3 linked regions of the Macaca mulatta genome follow. The protein of the gene in region 2 binds, or shares a complex with, the protein of the main gene of each other region. Links are inferred from orthologs where the notes say so. Each region holds a gene or a part of one and is shown on either strand. Other genes may lie near its edges. The genes, in order: ERC1, PPFIA1 and PHLDB2.

Region 1 (7,590 bases), on a different chromosome or scaffold from region 2:
AGGCCTTGTTCTACTGAAAAATACCTACCTTTAACATTATTAAAACCTCAGTACTCATACTCATACACTGGAGGCAGATTTTGTTCTTTCATATTTCATACATGTTATAGTAAAACATGCAAGATTGCAAAAACATGCAGATAATCATATTCCCATAGAAATCAACATTTTCACCACATAAGCTATTTAATGAGAAAGTAAACACTAAGACAAGTTTTTTCCTTATTCAATAAACAACAAAACATATTCAGTCCCTTAAAATGGTTTCAAAAATTATTAAAGGGGTAAACATACATACTTAGGAAAGCTCTGATTCAAAGTACCTTGAGTAAAAGAGAAATGTTCATGTAAATTTTGTTAAATGCTTTGTGGAAGCAACAGAGGTACTTTCAAGATTAAGTCCTCTACCAATTTCTTTTGTTTCAGGTTTCATCAGTTGTCAAAATTCAGTTACTAAGCATGGCCTTTATAAAAGACTCTATTGGCAGATACATGATTTAATGTGTTAGCAAAACTGTACCCTAAACTGGTGTGTCTAAAAGCCACAACATGGTGGAAATAAAAGCAACGAGAAGCAGTCCTGAATTAATTAACTCACTAGGAACAGAACAAAGCAAAAGCAGCAGAAACGCAAACACTTTCCAAAGTACGAGGAACCTTTTCTATTTTGTAGTCACCTCAATATAGTTCAGAGGAATCATTTAAAAAAAAAACAGGCCGGGCGCGGTGGCTCACGCCTGTAATCCCAGCACTCTGGGAGGCCGAGGCGGGCGGATCACGAGGTCAGGAGATCGAGACCATCCTGGCTAACACGGTGAAACCCCGTCTCTACTAAAAATACAAAAAACTAGCCGGGCGAGGTGGTGGCGCCTGTAGTCCCAGCTACTCGGGAGGCTGAGGCAGGAGAATGGCGTAGACCCGGGAGGCGGAGCTTGCAGTGAGCGGAGATCCGGCCACTGCACCCCAGCCTGGACGGCAGAGCGAGACTCCGTCACAAAAAAAAAAAAAAACAAACAAAAAAACAAACCTAGAGTTCCTGTTTCGGGAAGGGAGAGATGAGAAGGTTAAGCATATTCATTTATCTATAGGGTGATAAAAATATCATTCACACAAAAGCCAGAAAAAAACTATCAACTGAGACTTTATGGCAACACTGGCGAGGCCACTGCTGGCTTGGATGAGAGGCTCCGCGCTATTACAGGATGCTGAAGACAGTAGGAAGCATCAGGGAGAAAAGAAGACAGAAAAGTAGAGAAAATGGTTTTAAGAGTAGGATAATCAAGGGAAAGAAAATTAATGGTTAAAAACATTTTAAAAAGCTTCAACAACAAAAATCAGAGCATAGAAATAAGTATTTCACTCTACAAGGAAAAAAAAAAGAATTAAGCATTTTAAAAATTCTGATAACTCAAGGCTGAGCATAGTGGTCTTGCTCCCAGCAGTTTGGGAGGCCATGGCAGAAGGATCTCTTGAGGCAGGGGTTTGAGACCAGCCTAGGCAACATGGCAAGACCTCTCCATTTTAAAAAAACAAAAGGCCGGGCGTGGTGGCTCACGCCTGTAATCACAGCACTTTGGGAGGCCAAGGCGGGTGGATCATGAGGTCAGGAATTCAAGACCAGCCTGGTCAACAAGGTGAAACCCCGTCTCTACTAAAAATACAAAAATTAGCCAGGCACGGTGGCACACGCCTATAAACCCAGCTACTATGGAGGCTGAGGCAGGAGAATCACCTGAGTCCAGGAGGCAGAGGTTGCAGTGAGACGAGATGGCGCCACTGCACTCCAACCTGGGTGACAGAGTGAGACTCCGTCTCAAAATTAACTTAGCCAGGTGTTGTGGCATGGGTCTGTTGTCCCAGCTCTTCGGGAAGATGAGGCAGAAGATCACTTAAACCCAGAAGTTTGAAGTCACAGAAAACTATGATTATGCTACTGCACTCCAGCCTGGACGACAGAGCAAGACCCTGTCTCCTAAAAACAAAGAAAAAAAGACCAAAAAAAATCTGGTATCTCAAAAGTTGAGTTTCAATCCTTTCCTTAATAAATTCTGAGGACATTATCTCATACTGAAGACATGGAATGCCAATATTCAGATACAGGATATAAATTCTTAAGCTATAAATAGGTCAAAAATGACTTCAATTATCATTACCTCAAGACCAGTCATTTCCCACTCCAAACAAAACAGAGAAGAAATCTACTTTAAAAATGTCAATGATAGGCACAGGCTTTTGAATAAATGTAAACTAGAACACTAATAATACACTAGTAATAGTTTCCAAGAAGAAAATATGCCAAATAGTCCTTTATGTAAATCTACACATAAGCTGTAAACCAAAAAACAGAGCCTAATGTAGAAGGTGAAGATAACGAAATTCTAGGCCTCATAAGCTGCTATGAAAAATTAAAAGTATAACAAGTAAAAAAAACTTTCTGACAACATGTGCCCTGTCTTTTTTAGAAAAATGCTAGGAAATTAACATTCTCCAAAATGAGATAAAATCTGAAACAGGATATTTAACAATTGTTCTGAGTCTCAGATCTTACTACACAGGTTAAATTAGAGAATACGCCCTCACTTATTCTTCTTTTTTGTGTATGTGAGATGGAGTTTTGCTCTGTCGCCCAGGCTGGAGTGCAGCGGCGGGATCTCGGCTCAATGCAACCTCTGCCTCCTGGGTTCAAGCGATTCTCCTGCCTCAGCCTCCTGAATAGCCGGGATTACAGGCCTGCACCACCACGCCTGGCTAATCTTTTGTGTGTTTTTAGTAGAGACGGGGTTTCGCCATGTTGGTCAGGCTGGTCTCGAACTCCTGACCTCATGATCCGCCCGCCTCGGCCTCCCAAAGTGCAGGATTACAGGCGTGAGCCACCGTTTTCTCTTTTTTTACGAGATGGGGTCTCACTCTGTGGCACAGGCTGGTGTCCAACTCCTGACATCAAGTAATCCTCCCACCTCAACCTCCCAAGTAGCTGGAATTACAGGCACGAGTTACCGCACCCGGCAGAAGTCTGATTCTAATGGAAGAAAAATGTCAGGTAACTGAGATTTTTACACTGTCGTCTCATATTTCACCCACGAGGGAGCTGCATATTTTAATTTTTCTCTGAACTGTCAATTTTCAAAGACTTGGGGGATTATCTTGAATAAAATAAAGTAGGATAAGAATGCTAAGATAATTAATTCAGGTATACATGGTATTTTTAAAGTTTGGGGGATTATTACTCCATTGGTAAATTATTTCATATAAACATGCCAAGGCTATGCTCTTATTTAAAGCAAAGCAAAAAAAAAATGTGAAAAATTTTCTTTAACCTTTTTCAATTGTGATTCCATTTTCAGACACTCCTCCTTCTTCTGCTCCAAAGCGATCTCTAGTGTCTTAAGCCGTGAGTCCTTTTTCAGTCCTGAGGACGCCAGAGAAGAAGCATGCTCTTTCAGATCCAGAAGTGAAGCCTAAAAGAAGCAACACACATCTAGAATAAATAACTATAAACAAAATAGAGATTTAAAATTTTAAATTTATCGTGGTAGCTGTAATTTCCTTTCCATTACCAAATGCTGACATATTTCCATTTCAAGGAAATTCATCATGAAATATAAAACAATATTAACTCTAGCTTTCAACTCTTAACAAATAAGATGGATTCTCAAGAAATACCAATTGAACAGTGATTTAAAGAGTTCTGTCAATACATACCCATTCTACAAAATAAACCAAAGTAGATCAAGCTTTGTGAATGTAAGTAGTCAAACCTCAGTAGCTACATTAACTTAAACAAAATACATTTTTCAGCCAGATACTTGTAATCCCAGCATTTTGGGAGGCTGAGGCAGGGGGATCACTTGAGGCCAGGAGTTCAAGACCAGCCTGGGCAACATAGCAAGACCCTGTCTTCACAAAAAAAAAAATTTTACCTTAGCTGGGCATGGTAGTGCACACGTATAGTCCCAGCTACTTGGAAGACTGACATAGGAAGATCCCTTGGGCTCAGGAGTTCAAGACTGCAGTGAGCTATGATAACGCCATTGCACTCCAGCCTGGGCAACAGAGTGAGACGCTATCTCTTAAAAGAAAAAAATAAATAAATCACATTTTTCCCTATTAAAAGAAAAATTCTATTAGGAATTTAAACTTCCATAACAATTCCTAAAGATATCAGAAAGAAAATCCACAGAAAGATGCTACAGTTCATGCATTATCACCATCTGATTACACAGCATGAGGCATCTTTGCTCTTCAGGTCATACTAACAGGATTCTCCAAAAGCAAGATTCAAGTAGATTAAGTCACCCAATTTAATAGCTGTTGTGTTCTTTGATAGTTGGTATACATAAAATTTCCTTCTTTTGCATATTCCTTTTATCTGTCAACTTTCTTATCTTTAGCACACTAGTTCTCCAAATGTATCTGAGCTTCAGTTACTTTAGGTCTATAAAAATATTAGTAAGTAAAAAACCAACATAAAACATAGTAACACTTAGAAAATGAATGAACCAATCCACTACGTCTCTGCAAAGCTTTCTGAAATATTCCTTAAGGTATCCACAAAAAGCCTGCTAAAAGAATATTAAGCATTTTCCATCGAATACTTTTGTACATGCATTATGAAAACACCAACAGCATACAGACACGTGCAATGATTAAGCAAACAAACTAATTCCATTTTGGTGAGCTTAACCTCTTTCTCTGAAAGGTCGCCTTGCAATAGGCTGACTTTTTCCTTCAAGTCTTTAAGATCTTTTTTGTAGTTATCAATTTCCTCTTGCTTCTCGCGCTCATCTCTGTCCCTCTGCTCCTTTAAGCGTTCAATTGTCCGCTCCTGATGAGAGAATAAATCAAGATGTGAGGAAATTCCCTTTTGCACTTATATGACTGTAATTCTGCTATTAGCTGATAAAATTTCAAACTTCTATGTTCAAAAGACAATGGTAAGTTTTTAAAGAATCCACTTTTTTTTTTGAGATAAGAGTTTTGCTCTTGTTGCCCAGGCTGGAGTGCAATGGCATGATCTTGGCTCACCGCAACCTCCGCCTCCTGGGTTCAAGTGATTCTCCTGCTTCAGCCTCCCAAGTAGCGTGCCACCACACCTGGCTAATTTTGTATTTTTAGTAGAGACGGGGTTTCTCCATGTTGGCCAGGCTGGTCTCGAACTTGTGACCTCAGGTGATCCGCCCGCCTTGGCTTCCCAAAGTGCTGCAATTACAGACATGAGCCATAGTGCCCAGCCAGAACACACTTTCTAAATAATTCATCCTTCTTATTCATCTTGCCATAACAAGGACATAGCTTTATTCATTTCAATCCCAAGGTTTCTTTTCTTATAATCTCAACTGGTATTTGATACCACTAAAGTATTCTTTTGGAATATTTCCGTTTATTCAATTTCCAGGTAACTAAAAGCTTACATATACACCCTAAGGGCAATAACTATCAAACATTTCTTCTCGATATATTACTCACATGTCGCCTACAAGGCAATGGGAACAACTCACAACTCACACACCGAAAAGGGGGAATGGGAAAGATGTTGATATATTGAGTTTAAAATATAAAGGAAGGTAAAGAAAAGAGAAATCATCAGAACTTTCTGTCAACAGATACTCAAGAAGTTTGAAAATCAGAGCAATTTGGCCAGGTGCAGGGACTCATGCCTGTAATCCCAACACTTTGGGAGGCCGAGGTGGGTGGATTACTTGAGGTCAGGAGTTCAAAACCGGTCTGGCCAACATGGCAAAACCCCGTCTCTACAGAAAACACAGAAGATTAGTTGGGCATAGTGGCTCATGCTTGTAATCCCAGCTACCTGGAAGGCTGAGGCAGGACAATCGCTTGAAACTGGGGGGTGGAACTTGCAGTGAGACAAGATCACACCACTGCCCTCCAGCCTGCGCACAGACTGTGACTCTATCTTAAAAAAAAAAAATTTCCCCTTCACACTACATATGTCAGCAAGAGCACACAGCAGTTCTTTTCCCTTTTGCCCACAGGGATTTCTTTTGTATTCTACACCCAGTCTTAGATTAATGAGAACGCAGAAAACGCGTGTGGAGTTGGGGACAGTCACTCACTTTCTCTGCAAGGGCCTCCTCCAAAGTTGTCAAGGCAGTGTCAGTGTTGGTGGTGTCGGCCTGCAAGGATTTGACCCGCTCTTTCAAGCTGCTCATCTGCTTTTCCTTATCTCTAAGCTGCTCTTGAAGATTTTCAATCTAAATGCACATAAATATTTAAGGGAAAAGAGAGGACATTTATAAAAACACAGCGGCACAATCAAAATCATTTCAATTTGAAAACAGTTCAGGGTTGTCTGTGTGTGCGCGTTCTGTAGAAATCATTTAATCCTAAGAGTTTCAGAATTACATGCAAAACCTTAAATTTGTAGGCAAATTGAATTTGTAGGAATTTGTAGGCAAAACAAAAAAAAGGTACACACGTGTATGGACACACACACACACACACACGCACTCACACACATACACACAAATCCCTAACAAAATAAGAAAAGTAGCTAGCAGAAAAGATCCAGTATAGAGATGGCCACGTAGAGAGGAAAGCCATGAGGACTAGAATTACTTCTAATATGACATTGTAAATGCCAAGAGGGATTCCTTGACAAAGAATAAAGGGAGGACAGAGAATAGAGCAGCTAAACAGCGAGAAAGACAAATCAGCTATATAAAGAAAAGGCTGTTCTTAAAGGCTAGTGTTATGTCAGTTTTATATCATCTTTTATCTAAGCAGCAAACATTTTCACAGCCATTCGTTCATACATACATGCATTCATTTACTTATATCATCTTTTATCTAAGCAGCAAACATTTTTGTGGCCATTCATTCATATACACTTATATGTGCTCATTTACTCAAAAACCATTTGTTGAATTCTTTATTACATGCCGGACACAACGGATATGAAGAAAAATGAATAGGCTCGTTTTTATTCCACTATGAGATGGTAAGAAAATGCATCATCACACAGCTGAAGCCAAGCTACAGAAGAGCTTGTGTACCAACCTAAGGAGCAAAGACGCTTGTGTACCAACCTAAGCAGCACAGACTTTATTCCAGAGAGGGGAACCATTAGAGATTTTTAAGCACAGAAATGGCCTGGCCAATTCTGTACTTTAAATAAGTAACAGTGCCAGTGTTGGCAGTGTCAGCATGCAAGGACCCGACCCATTCTTTCAACAAAAATTTAAGAGGACTTCGCATATAGACATCGAAAACCATTAGAGTTTGTATCAGTTCAGGCAAGATTATGGGGACTAAACATACTGTGAGATAACATTGTGGAAATAGCGCGTTATCACTCAAGCACAACAAGCAGCATGTTATCACTCAAGTACAAGGAGACTCAAGTACAATAAAAAAGTATTATTCAAGTATAATAAAAAAATCAAAACTATAAGGAAATTCTGAGGAGCTATCCTTAATAAGCTAAAGGAAAATTATAAATAAACCAACTACTCACAAAGTTCATTCATTCACTATATACACACGAGTTCAAATTCCTGCCATAGATCAGGCACTTTTCCAGTTGCTGAGGAAACAGAGCAATGAAAACAGACCAAATTCCTGCCTTCATGG
Region 2 (8,218 bases):
TTCTTAAATTACCAGATCTCAAGACAGACTATATCTATGGTAATTTAGACATTGTGCTATTTATGCAAAGATGACAAAAAGATCAAAGGAGCAGAAGAGAGTCCAGAAACAGACCCACACACTTACAGTCACTGGACTGAGATGACATAGATGACACTGCATGTAGTACACTGGGGAAAGAATGGTCTTTTTAAGAAATTATGCAGGGTCAACTAGATATCCATTAAAAAAAAAAAAAAAGAGACTCTTGGCCCCATCACATACCATAAACAAAGTCAATTTCAGACAGAAGATTTAAAAATACAGTTTTCAGAAGACAATGTAGAGTATCTTCATGAACTTGACCTAGCAAATTTCTTAAGCAGGACACAAAGAGCATTAAACATTACTGAAAAGATTGATCAACTGGGCTACATTAAAAATTTAAAACTTCTGTGTATCAAAAGATACCACTGAGAAAGTGAAAAGGTAAACACGAGAGTCTAAAAACAATCTGTCATGCACATATGTACTCAGAATATAGAGAAAACTCCTTCAAATCAGTAAGAAACAAAATAGACAACCCAACCAACCGATGGGCAAAAGATAACCGTCTCACAAGACATCCAGATGGTCAGTGAACACAGGAAGAGATGCTTTACCTCTGCATGTTCCTGGCCATCAGGGAGCAGCAAATTCAGACCATACTGAGCCACCTACCAGCTAACAGCCACCAGAACAGCTAAAATTAAAAGACCCAACAAGGCCGGGTGCGGTGGCTCAAAACTGTAATCCCAGCACTTTGGGAGGCTGAGACGAGTGGATCACGAGGTCAGGAGATCGAAATCATCCTGGCTAACACGGTGAAACCCCATCTCTACTAAAAAATACGAAAAACTAGCCGGGCGAGGTGGCGGGCGCCTGTAGTCCCAGCTACTCGGGAGGCTGAGGCAGGAGAATGGCGTAAACCCAGAAGGCGGAGCTTGCAGTGAGCTGAGATTGCACCACTGCACTCCAGCCTGGGGGACAGAGCAAGACTCCGTCTCAAAAAAAAAAAAAAAATTGTAGTAATAAAATTCGACCTTCATAAACTTAGTATTTTATAAGATTAAAATGAGAAAAATCTTAATGATTCTCTAATCCAACAAAAAAGGAACATACAGCTCTAATGTCAAATCATTGTTGCTATAAAGGAAACCCACGTTTGGCTTATCAATCTTCCCAGAGAACTGACTACAGCCAAGAAATACATTAAGGCTAGTAATTATTCATTTACTAAGTTATCACTGCAGACCCATCATGTGAGTATAAATGTGTGTTTCTGCGGGTCTACCTGAATGCACCCCAAAGGCACTTAGGATGAGTAACATGGGGCCTAGACAGCTCTGAAACACCTAAGTAACCCACTTCTCTCCCACTATGCTCCGTGACACTCACCTGACACTTTTCTAGTTTTTACACTTTCTCCCTTTACCTACCATTAAGCAAATCCTCATTCAACTCCATGAGCAAAGTCTTTCAAACACTGGTCCAAATGTAATATACTCAGAGAAATAATTTCAGTTGTTCTAAGCTTTAAATTTTTTTTTTTTTTTTTTTGAGACAGTGGTGCAATCTTGGCTCCTCTGCAACCTCTGCCTCCCTGTCTCAAGTGATTCTTATGCCTCAGCCTCTGAGTAGCTGGGACTACAGGTGTGTGTTACCACGCTCCACTAATTTTTGTATTTTTGGTAGAGACAGGGTTTTGCCATGTTGGCCAGGCTGGTCTCAAACTCCTGACCTCAGGTGATCCGCCTGCCTTAGCCTCCCAAAGTGCTGGGATTACAGGCATGAGCCAACACACCCGGCCTAAGCTTTAAAATTCTCGTCTACCAAGGAAGAAGTTCCTAAGGAATCAATCTCCAGTCTTCTATCCCCTAAAACAAATGTGACTTACAAAACCTAGATGTTCTGATAAAGGTGGGCTATCAAAACAGTATTTTTTTTCTGTGAAATCCTATTTGTCTACTAAATTATATTAGGAAATTAGAAACACATGAGACACAATCCATGGGAAGCACAAGTTTAGCAAGAGAAGGTTGAAGACAACAGAACGGAGGCACCACATAGATTGGTTGCTTCAGAGCCCTTTTTCAGAAACTCTGGAGAACTTCCTGAACCTAGGCAGTTCCCAAAGATAGGAATGAAAATAATGAGGTATTTTCACATGACTTTAGAGTACAACAATTTGTTCTCCCTAAGAAGTTTAATCCCTAGGAACTTTGTATTTGACTTAGAAACACCAGAAACCATCATTTCACAAATGGTTATGGAAAATACTCATCTGAAACATTAACAAAAGATGACACCAATTAAAAAAAAAAAAAACATTTAGTGGAGAATAATCTACAGAGTCTCAAGTTAAAAGCACTCATACCTGTGGAAGTGCCGTGTTGAGCTGTCTCTGCAAGGAATCTCTTTCATGACCAACCTCATGTAACTTCCCCTGGGTTAAGGCCAGTGTTTCTTGAGTCTCCCTCAGTGTGTCAAGAAGGCGGTCCCTTTCTTCCAACATGGAGACCATCAACTGTTCAAAATGTGAATCTGCGTCTGGCTGCGAAGGGGAGCCGGAACCATGGCTTCCACCTCCTCCAGGGGGGCCTTCTGCTTCGCTGATGGTCGGCATCACCTCGCACATCATCTTGAAATGAAAGAGCCAGGCTACAGTCATCAAGTGCAGAATACAGGTTCCCACAAATATGCAACTTTACAGGTATCTGTAGCTAAAAAGAGGGGCAGCCTCATTATCCTCAGATCTGTTACGCTTTGTGTGTAAATAAGCTGGGAAAACATATACCGGGCAAATATTAAGTGCAGAAATACACAACATGAAGACATTAACACAGACAAAAATCCAGGGAAGGGGTCAAGATACCAGAGGACTACCCTCACAAAAAAGGGCAAACCCTGGGGTAGTCTGTTTGCAAAGCTGTACTTGTTTTTGTCGAAAACAAGTGTGCTTCTGTTACCTAATTTTTTTTTACTTCCCAGTGGGGGGTGGGGGGGGGAGAAGAAAGTCAAAACACATGTCACCCAATCATTTTTCAGGAAAAGCACAGAAGGAGCATACAGCCAGCAAAACTGACAAGTACAAAATCCATCAGGCATCTTGCAGGAATGTGTGCAGTCAGCTCCTGTGAAGAACTGACGGCTCCCTGAATTCTTGAGCTGGAGCTGGTGAGCACTAAAAGGAACTGGATTCGTTAAACGCTGGCAGAAGTGTTTTTTTTCAATGGCTGCAACGGTTGATCAGTCAACCTAACTTACGTAAGTTTACAACCGAAAAAAAAAAAACTCACAATGGAAATATAGCAGGTCGATATACAGCCGGAGGCGGCTAGGAAAGAGGGAAAAGTGAAAGGTGAGATGATGAGAGGCATTAAGTGTCTGGGATATAAAGACAGCGCGAGGGGATGGGGAAGTCGCTTCTGAGTCTTTCGGGCAGTATTCGGGGCGCGATGGACCCCTGAGAGAGGATGGCCCAGGCGGCGCACCTGATGGGGATGACCTCCAGCCTGCTCGAACCGTACTCCTTCCCCTCCTGTATCAGGTGCGGCGGGAGCCCCGGACCCCGGAGGTGAGGACCGTTGACAACGGAGCCCGCTCGGGCCGGGGCTTTCAGCGGCCGCAGTTCCCCGCCCCTCGCCCCAGCGCCCAGGTCACGGGGCGCAGGGCTCGGGGAGGGGCGGCGCGCAGTCCCCGGAGCCATCCCTCGGGGCGCTGGGGTCCCGCCAGAGCTCTCCCAGCGCGACCCGGCGCCGCGGCCTCGCCCCCACCCGCCCCGGAGCGCACCCTTCCTCGCGAACACATCCAACCGGCTGCGTGGCCGCCGCGGAGACCGGGACCAGCCGGTGACGCCTGGGCCCCGAGCCTGCCTCAGTGTCCCGCTCCCTTACCTTGCTCACCGGCGGGAGCGGGCGAGGAGGCTCCGCGGCGGCTCGCGGGCGGCTGCTCGCTCCGGGCGAGCTTGGGAGCCGACGAAGGCAGCCCGCGGCCGGCGTCCGCCTGCCCGCCCCACGCCGCGGCCCCGGGGCCCGCCGCCCCAGTCACTAAGGCCGGCCCGCGGCCGGACACTGGCGGAGCGGAGGAGGAGCGGGCCCGGCTGCGCGGCGCCGGCGTCGACGTGCCCGACGTCGAGCGCGTCGGCGCGAGCGTCAGCACCGCCCCGGGGGCGGGGCCCGAGGAGGACCGCGGCCCGAGTGCGCAAGCGCTGTCGCCTCAGGAGGGGGCGGGCGGCTGCTCCGGGGAACTGATTGGCTGAGCGAGACGGGAGCCACGCCCCCAGGCCCCGCCCGGGTCGGTGGGGGGTCTCCGGGATGAGCCACAGGTGGGCGCTCAGGTGCTCGCCGGGTCAGCGTCTTCCTCCGGGCATCCCTAGTCTCCTCCCACTGCTGCGGGGACGCCGGCGGCCTTTGCCGAGTATGTGCCGCGCCTCGGGTTCTGAGGCGGACGCGTCCCGCACGTCAGGTCCCTCCCGAGCTGGAGGCGCTGGATTCGCACCTTGTGAGGAAGAGCGAGCCGAGGCTTCAGCCACTGCCGCGGGCCCAGACCCCGCCCGCCGCGTCGCTCCCAGGGTCTCCCCGGGCCTGATCGGGGTTCAGCAGGACGCGGTTCCCGCCAGGACCCACTTACGGAGCGCAGCCTGCTGCACCTGGGGACGCTCCGGCGCAGCGTCCAGCGTGCAGGCTTTGCCGCTGTGGCTTTCACTCTGCAGCGTGGGCCCGGGCGATTCGGGAAGCCCGCCTGGGCTTCAGCGCCTCCGATGTAGGATGGGAAAATGATGCAGACCTACCTGCGAGGCTGCTTTAAGATATGAATCAGATGTGGAGTGACTAGTTGAGAACCTGACGGGCGGCCCTACAGAAGTCTTGGTCATTTCATTCTTTCCGCAAGTTTTGTTTTGTTTTGTTTTCCCAGACGTTGTTTCACTCTCGTCGCCCGGGCTGGAGTGCAATGGCGCCATCTCGGCTCACTGCAACCTCTGCCTCCGGGTTCAAGTGAGTCTCCTGCCTCAGCCTCCCGAGTAGCTGGGATTACAGGCGCACGCCACCTAGTCCAGCTAATTTTGTATTTTTAGTAGAGACGGGGTTTCTCCATATTGGTCAGGCTGGTCTTGAACTCCCGACCTCACGTGGTCTGCCCGCCTCGGCTTCCCAAAGTGCTGGGATTACAGGCGTGAGCCACTGCGCCCGGCCTCAGCAAGCATTTTTAAACACCTACTGTGGGCCAAGTCTTGTGCTAGATGTTGTATTTACGGAGATGAATAGAGACACCTCTAATTAATGAAAGAGGATGCTCTCCCCACTCCTCCCAGGGTTTGACTTGGCGCAAAAACTCTTCACAAACCAGAATGACAGGACACCATCGCCAGTGTCCACTGGCCACCGTTGTTGGTGTGAGGCAGCCAGGAGCCCCTCAGAACTGATAAGTCTGAGAAGAGACTGCACAGGGGAGGGAGAAATGAGCCCGTCCAAGGTGAATTCCTTGATTGTCCATTGTGAGTGCACTAAGAACAAGCACTGCCTCCGACTGACTTTCTCGCCTGCCAGGATCTGGTACACCTTCCATTAATTTATTAGTTCATTCAATAAATATTTATTGACTGATTACACATAAATATGAATTTGTACTTTTTGCCCCTAGTTTCTTGCTATTTTAAAAGTGTAAAAATGGCCAGGTGAGGCCGGGTGTGGTGGCTCACGCCTGTAATCCCAGCACTTTGGGAGACCCAGGTGGGGAGATCACTTGAGGTCAGGAGTTCAAAACCAGCCTGGCCAACATGGTGAAACCCCATCCCTACTAAAAATACAAAAATTAGTCAGGTGTGGTGGCGGGCATCTGTAATCCCAGCTACTCGGGAGGCTGAGGTGAAAGAATAGCTTGAACCTGGGAGGTGGAGGTTGCAATGAGCCGAGATCATGCCACTGCACTCCAGCCTGGGAGACAGAGCGAGACTCTGTCTCAAAAAAAAAAAAAAAATTGGCCAGGTGCAGTGGCTCACGTCTGTAATCCCAGCACACTGGGAGTCCAACGTGGGAGGATTGCTTGAGCCTGGGCAATATATCGAGACCTGCGTCTATACAAAAAATTAAAAATTAGTCCAGCGAGGTGGGCCACGCCTGTAGTCCCAGCTACTTGGGGGGCTGAGGTGGGAGGATTGCTTGAGTCTGAGAGGTCGAGGCTGCACTGAGCTGTGATTGTGCCACTGCACTCCAGCCTGGGTGCCAAAGCGAGACTCTGTCTCAAAAATAAAAAATAAAATTGTGAAGATGATCACTTAGATGAGGTGTTCTGCAAGTACCCTGTACCTTTCCACATGCCAGCAATTCTGCACCACTCCCAAGTTCCCCTGAACCACTGTCCAAAACCAGCAAATTTCCAGCTCTCCTTAGGGGTACCTGCTTAATGCAGCCAGGTATGTTTGCACCATGCTCATAAAGTGTCTGTTTTCTAAGAAATCGGCTCAAGATCAAAATTTAGTTCAGCAGGGTAGAATGTTCATTCATTTCATGGACATTTGTGGAGCATGTATGAGCCAAGCATGGCTTAGGTTTTGGGAACACAGAGCTAAGACATCACTTCTAGTATGAGTTCACAGTCTGGAGGAGAGAAGAAAATCAGACTATTGCAATGTCTGTCCCATAAACAGTGTATATGACTTGGTGCTGTGGAATCACAGGGAAGGGAGGAACCCTCTCTCCAGCTGGCATCATGGGGGTTTCATAGAGGAGGCAATATCTGAGCTGGGTCTTGAATGATGTGGGATTTTTCCAGTGGAGAAGGGAGACACCCAGTTGGTATAGCTCCAGGAAAATGAAAATTCCGAATTTCATTCATTTTATGCCTGCCTGCCTGCCTGCCTGCCTGCCTTCCTTCCTTCCTTCCTTCCTTCCTTCCTTCCTTCCTTCCTTCCTTCCTTCCTCTCTTCCTCTCTCTCCCTCCCCTCCCCTCCCTTCCCCTTGCCCTTCCTTCCTTCTTTTTCTCTTTTTTTTTTTTGAGACAGGATCTCATTTAGTTACCTAGGCTGAGGTATAGTGGTTCGAACACAGTTTACTGCAGCCTCTACTTCCCAGGCCCAATCAATCCTCTCACCTCAGCTCCCCGACAAGTAGCTGGGACTACCGGCACAGACCACCATGCCTGGCTAACTTTTTTGTATTTTTGGTAGAAAAGAGGTTTCACCATGTTACCCAGGATGGTCTCAAACTCCGGAGCTCAAGCAATCCACCCACCTCGCCCTCCCAAAGTGCTGGAATTACAGGCATGAGCCACCACTCATGGCCCTCATGCATTTTAATTCATTGATTTCATTCCCCCAGATTGGAAATCGGTAAGGGAGAAATCGTAAACAACCTAAATGGCCAAGAAAACAAAATTGGTTAAATTATTGCACTTCCAAATGACAGAAAAGTTGATGACATTCACAGCCTTTTTTTTTTTTGAGACTGAATCTTGCCCTGTCGCCTAGGCTGGAGTGCAGTGGCGTGATCTCGGCTCACTGTGGTCTCCATCTCATAGGGTTCCAGCGATTCTCCTGCCTCAGCCTCCCGAGTAGCTGGGATTACAGGCACACCTGGCTAATTTTTGTATTTTTAGTAGAGACAGGGTTTCACCATGTTGGACAGGCTGGTTTCAAACTCCTGACCTCAGGTGATCCACCCACCTCAGCCTCCTAAAGTGCTAGGATTACAGGCGTGAGCCACAGCACCTGGCCCACAGTCATATTTTAGATAATTATGTATATCATGATTGTGGTGGTAGTTACATTACTATATGTTTGTCAAATACCTGTACATTAATATAGTATGCCTTAATTTTTATACATGGTTAAACAAAAACTTTTTAAAAAAAGCAAATGCAAACAAGTATACAGAGTGTGAACCCCAATCTGAAAAAGAAAACAGTCTATGTTTAGATTAAGACTGTATTATGTAAAATTTATCTTGTATATGAATAACTCTAGAATGTTAAGGTAATATATTTTTAATAAAATGAGTTTTATATGAAATGAACTATTTTTGAAATGCGAAATTAAATTTTAAGTTTCAAATTATAAAAGAAAAACATATATGTCTACATATGAAAATATTGTTACTATAGTCAATTAGTTTTTTCTCTTTCACCACTTCCTTCATATATATATATGTATATATTCCTGGAAGGAGACCCATCAAAAGGTTCGCAGTGGTTATCTTTGAGT
Region 3 (7,590 bases), on a different chromosome or scaffold from region 2:
AGGTCCTCGGAGGTGCATAATTATAGTTCAATCTTTAGTACTCAATGAAACTACCTTGCGTTTTCAAATAAAGATTGAACACATTAAAAAAAAATCCAGGTGGAACACTAGTATAATCACAGCTGAGCTAAAAATATTACAGATATTATGCTTAGTGAACCAGCTTTACCCCACCTGGTTTCTTCATTAATGAGTTAAAGAAATCTTTGGCATCTATTCGTTCTTCATTTATATAAGAGTTGCATTTACTTTTTGAAAATTATGCTTTGACAATTTGGAGGTCCTAATAAAATGCACAAGTGACTCACTCTATCCAGTCAATTAAATTGCACTGCCCATGAAGTATATCTCATGGGCTGGATGCCTAGACATATCTTTTCTTGGCTTCTGAGGTAAATCATAAATGGCAGTAGAACATCAGCTTCACTGACTCACTATTCTCTGCAGTTTTTGTTTTACTGAATCTGTGCTACAGTTTTTGTTTCTAATCCTTGGCCTGGGATTCTGGTTTGCATACAACTGATAGTTATCTCCACTGGTGGCAACCATGACTAGGAATCTGGTTTCACGATCTGACCACGTGGAGAGTTGTCAGGTAGAACTGGAATCCAGCCTTGGTCAGGTGAGAGATGACAGATTATTTGTTTGTTGTTGTTGTTTATAATTTGTTTGTTTTTCTATTTGTGTACTCAGATCAGGAATATATTTAGTGCCTGATGGAAAAGCAGTCTTTTGAGATCTGTGTTCCAGTGAGATTTTGTGTTCCAGTGTTCACTTTTGATCTGTAATTGGAGCTGTAGGACTTATGCCATAAACCTTTCATCTGTCTCTCTACCTGGGGGCGGGGGGAGGGGGAAATACTCTGTGTAGGTGAAATATTTTTCTATCTCCCAAGGATAATAATAAATTAAATAGAGGAGGCCTACTGTTCTGATTGGTTTACAGAGACTAACAAGTAGTTAGAGAAATCTAACATTCCCAGAATTTCAAGAATTTATTTTCTTGAAGTAAATTTTGTGAAATTCTAATGCTTTAAAGGTGCTTTTTTAAATAATGGGGTCTCACTCTGCCACCCGGGCTGGAGTTCAGTGGCATGAACATGGCTGGCTCACTGCAGCCTCAATCTCCTGAGCTTAATCAATACTCCCACCTCAGCCTCCCAAGTAGCTGGGACTACAGGTGTGCACCACCACACCCAGCTAATTTTTGTATTTTTTGTAGAGACAGGGTTTTGCCATGTTGCCTGGGCTGGTCTCAAATTCCTGGGCTCAAGTGATCCTCCCACCTTGGCCTCCCAAAGTACTGGGATTACAAGTATAAGCCACCTCACCCAGTCTAACTGTGCTCTCTTAAAAAAAAAAAAAAAGACCTGATTTGATAATTTGGTTTTAAAAACACCTTTAGGGACACATGTTCTCAGAATCTCCTGGGGCTGTGTCATGGGCAAATATAACTTTTAAGAAAGAAAATACATTTTAAAAACAACAACAACAAAACAGCTATACATCTTTTCCTTGTTTCATCAATGTATAGTATAATACAAGTATAATCTCATTTTTTAAAAAAAACTTGAATGTTTTATGATGAAGAGATTAGTTTACCTGAACTTTTAAACTGCCTTTTATTAGTTTGCCAAAAACATAAGCTAAGATTACGTCCATAATATTAAGAAAAATATAAACTTTTTGCTCACCTAAACTGAATTATAACTGTGACCAACCTTTTCACATTTTCCGTAATTATGTCCTGTGATGTGTTAGCTTGAACATAATTTCTAATACCTTTAAGTATTTTTGATGTGTGTCTGGTTGTTCCAGAATGTGGAAGAGCACAATGAAGAGCAGAAGTTGATGGAAACAGAAAATTGCAGATCTGCAAAAGGGGAGTTAGATTTAACTTGGTTTATAATGCTTGCAAATAAAAAGGCTATAAAGAAGTAACAAAATTTTAAGAATTTGGCAAAGTTTGCATGATTTTGATGCAATTATTCATAAAGTATGTTTAATGTAATGCATTAAAAATGTAATATATGACAAGCACCCTGTTAATGTAAAACTAAAATGCAGTTATTGCTATTGAAATGACAGACTGAACTTGGAGAAATCAGTCGATGCTTGTAAAAGGCAGTAAAAGGTTATTCCACATAATCTGCCCAAAGAACAGAGACTAGTATCTTACAAGAGTTTTCCTGAGCTTTGCGCTGATTGGAACGTATTCTTGCATATTTAAAATAACAAAAAGAGTTTTCTTCATTTTTGAACGATTTGAGGCTTCTTGCTCATCATAAAATAATCCATTGCCATTTGATTAAACAGCCAAACCACAAACATTCACTACTCTCAGGTATACACCATTCTTTATGACTCAAGTGACAAAACCTCTCATTTTGCCTTCAAGATCAGGCAGACCCTAAATACAGAAGAAAAAAAAAATTCCAAGATATCTATTTCTGAACCACTTTTACGTTTTCCCAGAGAACCTCTGGGCAATCACAAAGAATTGTTTTTTAATTTTACAAAAAGAAAGAGGCTAGAAATAATTAGGTTTGCTCACTGCGCCCCTAAAAATTTCTCAAATCAAATGAGGAAGTCGCCTGCCCTTAAGATAATTTTATACAGGTAAAATATGATTTTTAATATTATAGGTAATGTTCAAAGATTGGGTACTTTACAGAAAGGCCCTGAATATATGCCAGTGCCCTCACTCTCTGTAATATGTTCTTAAAAAACTGATTTAAAGGATTTTAACTCTCCTTCATGCTGATATTGTTTGTTAAATTAACCACAGCCACTTAACTCTTACATTCACCAAGTATTCTCTACTTTCCCCGTGAGCTTGCCTACAAAATACAATATCTCGTTAACAAAGAAAAGACAGTTTTAGAACCTTGTGGACAGAACTTTACCAGGTATTCTTAACTCTTAATATTTCAAAGAATTGCATAGAGAAAATTAGACAGTACTAGGCACCCAAATCAGATTTTCAGGACTTTTTAGTCCAGAAATAGATGACTGCATGAAACCAAATTAAGAGCCCAAGAAACAGAGGAATAAGAATTAATTACATAGAAGTGATTGAATTGTAATAAAAATTGAATTTCTAAAAGTGGATATGTGTTTTGGAATATTACTAGTATTATTTTTAATGTTCTATTTTTTAGGGGGAAAATGCTTTGGCATTCATACTGCTCTATCTCTAATCCTCTATTCAGCTAACTCTGATTTTGCAAACTAAATGAAATATTATTTTAATGGTAAATTGTTCTCACTGATCTCTGAGAATTCAGGAAGTAATCTGAGTCACTTTACTTTTTAATGGCAATATCATAATTTGCATAGGCTTGATAAGAATCTGTCATCCCTTTTACCACAATGTAGTCAAACAAATAGACTATGCAACCAAGATCAAGCCTAGAGTGTCAAATTTAAAAATAAACCTCATTTCAACAGATACGATAAGTCCACTATTAAAGAAAAAATATATATAACTTCATATTTACAGCAATATCCACAAAGCTCTCCCAAGAAGTCAAAACTGTTTATGACTTAACGGGCCCAACCTTACAGGCAGTACAGAAGGTCACTTCCTGGATTGCCAAGAATCATACCAGATTGGGAAAATCTGGAGGAAAGAGAAATTCACCAACACTTAGAGATGCTGAACATGAAAGCTAGCAGAGATGAATTTCTTGAGTTTGGTTGCCTATCCTTGGAATAGAAGAGCAAATAGAAGCATTTAAGGAAGACGTCCAGAGTAATGGAAGCCATTAAAAATGCTCTCCCAGATTCCTTGTTATCGGATAGAAGTTAATATTCTGGCTTTATAAATAACAGTTGCTTTGCATGGTATAGCATTATATTTGCTGTCCATAAACAAGACTTTTGTATGCTAATTAAAACATCTTCTGAATTTCTGTCAATGAAGCAAGCCCAAACACAATGCCATTTTGTGACCAAGAACAGTCTGCAGAGATTATTTATGATAATAAAGAGGAATGTCATACTGAGTACTGTATAACTGACCCACCTAAAGACTATCTAAATTCTCTAAGGTTATGCACATTTGTTTTCATTCACCATTGTCAGTTAGGATATTTGAAAACTCTGTAAGAACAGACATCAACTTATCAAAAACTATAAGTGATGCAAATGATTACTGCTCTAAAATGTCAAACATACTTCCTACTGGATGGATGCAAATGGTTTCCGTCCATTATAATCCAAAGGTTACAACAGGTGTGTCCAATCCTGGTACACACTGGAGAAGAAGAACTGTCTTGGGCCACACATAAAATACACTAACGATAGCTGATGAACTTAGAAAAAAAAAAAAAAAGGCAAAAAAAATCTCATCATGTTTTAAGAAAGTTTGAGTTTGTATGGGATGACATTCAAAGCCATTGTGGGCCATGTGCGGCCCACAGGCCACAGGTTGGACAAGGCTGGGTTACAATTTTATTGTCCTATAGGGTATTAACCAGTTTTGTGATTCAAAAATCATATTCTAGAATATTTTAGCAACTAAAATACTTCTGATAATGCTATAGTGTTGTTGTAAATCAGCTTCACTATCCTGCAGCTTCTCTCGTTAAGGAAATCACGAATCAAAAATGAATCAAAGTAATCTCTGACAGGTATTCATTCTAAAAGAGAAAAACCTGTGCTTAAAAGAGAATGGGAAAAAGCAGTTGTCTGTTCTCATTCATTGGTGAGCCTCTCAAGGGATGTTTCCTCCTGTCTTCTTATTTTCAATAAGTATAAATTCATTTTAAATGGAAAAAGACAACTCAATAGATCTTGTATGTGTAGTTTGGAGTCACTGTACGTGCTAAGAATCAGAGCTAAAGATAGTAAGGTTGTGTATGAACAGTGTGGAGAAAAGCTGAGCACCACTGAGGCAACTCCAACTTTCTAGACAACTTGCTATAAAGACAAATTCACTACCTAATTCTTGGTGAGTCATGATTTCACTGACTACTTCTCTCATAACCATACACATGCAAATTTAATGATATAAATAATACAAGTCAGCATTTCCTCATAGTCTTAAAGAGAAGTTTGTTAAGACTCAGAAATTTCATAAAATTCGCAGCTCCTCTGTTATGTTTTTAAAGAATTTATACTTGTGAGAAGTCCGCAGAGCAACTAAATTAACATTAATTCCTGGAGGCCTTCAAGATAGCCAAACATGCCTATTAATAGTGATATGGGAAGAAGAAGCATATAGCAGAAGAGAAGAGAAAGACAGCAGCTGTGGCTGGTGAACATGAATATCCTATATTCCCACATATCCTGGAGTCCATCTCCAAGGCTGCCCTGTAGATGCTGGTTAATGAAACAGTGAGGTCAATCACTGTTAGATGATTACCAATCGCTCCATCTCCTGCTCCCTCAGTCTTTCTTCCCTCTGCCGCCGGTGATAATCCATCAGGTCATCACGTCCTGAAATGGAGCTAATGCTGCTTTTCCGTTCCCGAAGGACAGGCTGGGGGGTTCCTGAGGTCTGTCTGAGGCTTTCCAAATCAGCCTCATCAAATTCCACAGATCCACAAGAGAAGTTCCTCCTGGTCGCAAACACTCTGTCTGACTCTCCAGCAAGAAGTGAATGACTCGGGTTTGTCCCCACGTATGAAGCCCGATCAAAGTCATCAGAGGCGCAGGAAGAGGTGGAGGCCAGAAGCATCTTCCGAGCCACTCGAGGACTGGCAGGGACACTGAGGGTAGAACTTACATAAGGATTGCCTTCAGAAGCAGAGGTTTTATAGGGTAAAGCCCCTGAGCTCAAAGAAGAAAAATTAAGGTAATTGTCATTGTCTATTATGCTATGAGGTAGATCCTTTTCCCCAAGTTTTGTTCGTTTGGAATTGCCCAGAGAGTTTCTTGGAGGCAAGCTGAGAGGTGTCAGCTGGTTCTCTGTGGCTTTGTACAACCTGGGAAGTGATCGGCTGTAGGCTCCCATGTGACTCAGGCTGCTGCTGGAGTACTTCCTAGTTCTCAAATTGATGTTTTCAGATGCAAGCTCCTTGTGTCTAGTTAACTTGGGTTGAAGCGTCAGGCTGTCCTGAATGCTCATTTTCCTGGCTTGCTTTGGGCTTGAAGGCATGCTTGCAGCTCCCGATCTGCTGATAGGAGGGGGGCCAGCATCACTCAGGGAACTTCCATTCCACATGGCCAGGAGCGAGCCAGATGCCTTCCGACCTTCCAGCCCTCCGAGAAAGTAGACATTGTCGTGCGATTTATTCCTTGAGCTATACTTGGAATACGGAGGCTTCTCTGAGAGCCTCAAGGCCCTTTCACTGTCCCGGCCAGTATAATGATCAAAGTCTGCTCTTCCAAGTGGATATCCGCTGAGGGAGGATGTAGTGCTGAGTAAAGGAGTTGGAGGTTTCATAGCAATATTTTTGTCAGTTCCATCATAAGAGAACTGCTTGCTTCCCTGGATTTTGGCTAAGGAGGGGCTGCTTTTCACACTGGTTCCCAAAGGAGAAGGGCTTCTCTTTGCAGGCACAGGTTGTGAGAGGGTTAAATAGGAGCCAGAATAGTCTCCATTGGCTTTAAATCTCAGACTGGAAGAGTATTTCTTTGGGCTGAGGCTCTCCATCATGTTTTGGAAATTGTTCTCAACAGAATGCACCACAGCGTCTTCCTCTAAGCTACCATTTTCTAAATCTAGCTCCTTTTGTATGTAGCTATGCTCTTCCATAATCTTGCTGGAATCTGTAAAGAAATGAAGAGAAAATTTTGCGTTAAAAAAGATTTTAAAAGAACAATCGCTTGTTAGGCCTACATCTGAACAAATAATCTTGCGGTCTGACCTAATGCAAATAAACACAAACTCAGTTTTACTAATAAACCTGTTAAAACCATACAGCAAATTAGAGGATAATGAAGATCACTGATCTGAGATATCTTATGTACAAAAGAAAAATAACTTAAAAGGACAGCAATGACATTTGAGTGAAACAAATCCCTAACCAAGTAAAGGCGCAGGATTAGGTTGGGACATAAAAAAGACAATTTCTCCTTAATGTTCTGGCCCTTCAAGGAACACCGGCTTCCCTAGTGACTAGCTAATGCCCAAAGGCATAATGCAATGGACTTTACTATAGATGTCTCTGCTAGAATCATTAACTGCTCAGAAATAAAGTCCTGAGGAAACAAAATTCACGTTTGGGCAGAAAAAGAAAAGTTTACGTTAGACACTGATCAATAACGTGAGAGTTAGAAGATGGTTCTTTAAACGAGGGCTCTGGGATTTACCTTCTCAACAAAAAGACTTAAAGCTCCTTTAGTCATCAGAGGCAGGTAATAACAAAGAAAAGAGTATTCCACCAATTACTGACACGTGATCAGGATGGTATATTTAAAAACCTGAAACTGTTATATCCTTCAAATTTTCTAGTACCCCAAATGCACTAAGCTCATCCTATCAGGACCTACTCACTCTTCCAGGGAATAGATCAGGATTCTATGTTCCACGATTAAAATTTTTAAGAAAATATGTTTTCATCCCTGGTTTGAACAATGTTAACTTAAAGAACTAAAGTTTTAGCCTATGAAAATATCTTTTAATTACAAACTATTACTGCAA

What was found.
Region 1: PPFIA1 (region 2) and ERC1 share a complex: the UniProt entries of both Homo sapiens proteins name them as parts of the cortical microtubule stabilization complex. The link is inferred for Macaca mulatta from reciprocal best matches to the Homo sapiens genes PPFIA1 and ERC1.
Region 3: PPFIA1 (region 2) and PHLDB2 share a complex: the UniProt entries of both Homo sapiens proteins name them as parts of the cortical microtubule stabilization complex. The link is inferred for Macaca mulatta from reciprocal best matches to the Homo sapiens genes PPFIA1 and PHLDB2.

Annotation. Positions count from the first base shown.
Region 1 is NC_133416.1:1,970,589-1,978,178, reverse strand, and holds part of ERC1 (ELKS/Rab6-interacting/CAST family member 1), read right to left. Parts: intron 6,213-7,590; coding exon 6,075-6,212; intron 4,826-6,074; coding exon 4,685-4,825; intron 3,459-4,684; coding exon 3,318-3,458; intron 1-3,317. UniProt on the Homo sapiens protein: Regulatory subunit of the IKK complex. Probably recruits IkappaBalpha/NFKBIA to the complex. May be involved in the organization of the cytomatrix at the nerve terminals active zone (CAZ) which regulates neurotransmitter release.
Region 2 is NC_133419.1:4,393,243-4,401,460, forward strand, and holds the start of PPFIA1 (liprin-alpha-1), read right to left. Parts: upstream 4,109-8,218; 5' UTR 3,924-4,108; exon of another isoform or gene 3,915-3,923; intron 2,660-3,914; coding exon 2,396-2,659; intron 1,663-2,395; exon of another isoform or gene 985-1,662; intron 1-984. UniProt on the Homo sapiens protein: May regulate the disassembly of focal adhesions. May localize receptor-like tyrosine phosphatases type 2A at specific sites on the plasma membrane, possibly regulating their interaction with the extracellular environment and their association with substrates.
Region 3 is NC_133407.1:171,759,792-171,767,381, forward strand, and holds part of PHLDB2 (pleckstrin homology-like domain family B member 2), read right to left. Parts: intron 6,717-7,590; coding exon 5,368-6,716; intron 1-5,367. UniProt on the Homo sapiens protein: Seems to be involved in the assembly of the postsynaptic apparatus. May play a role in acetyl-choline receptor (AChR) aggregation in the postsynaptic membrane.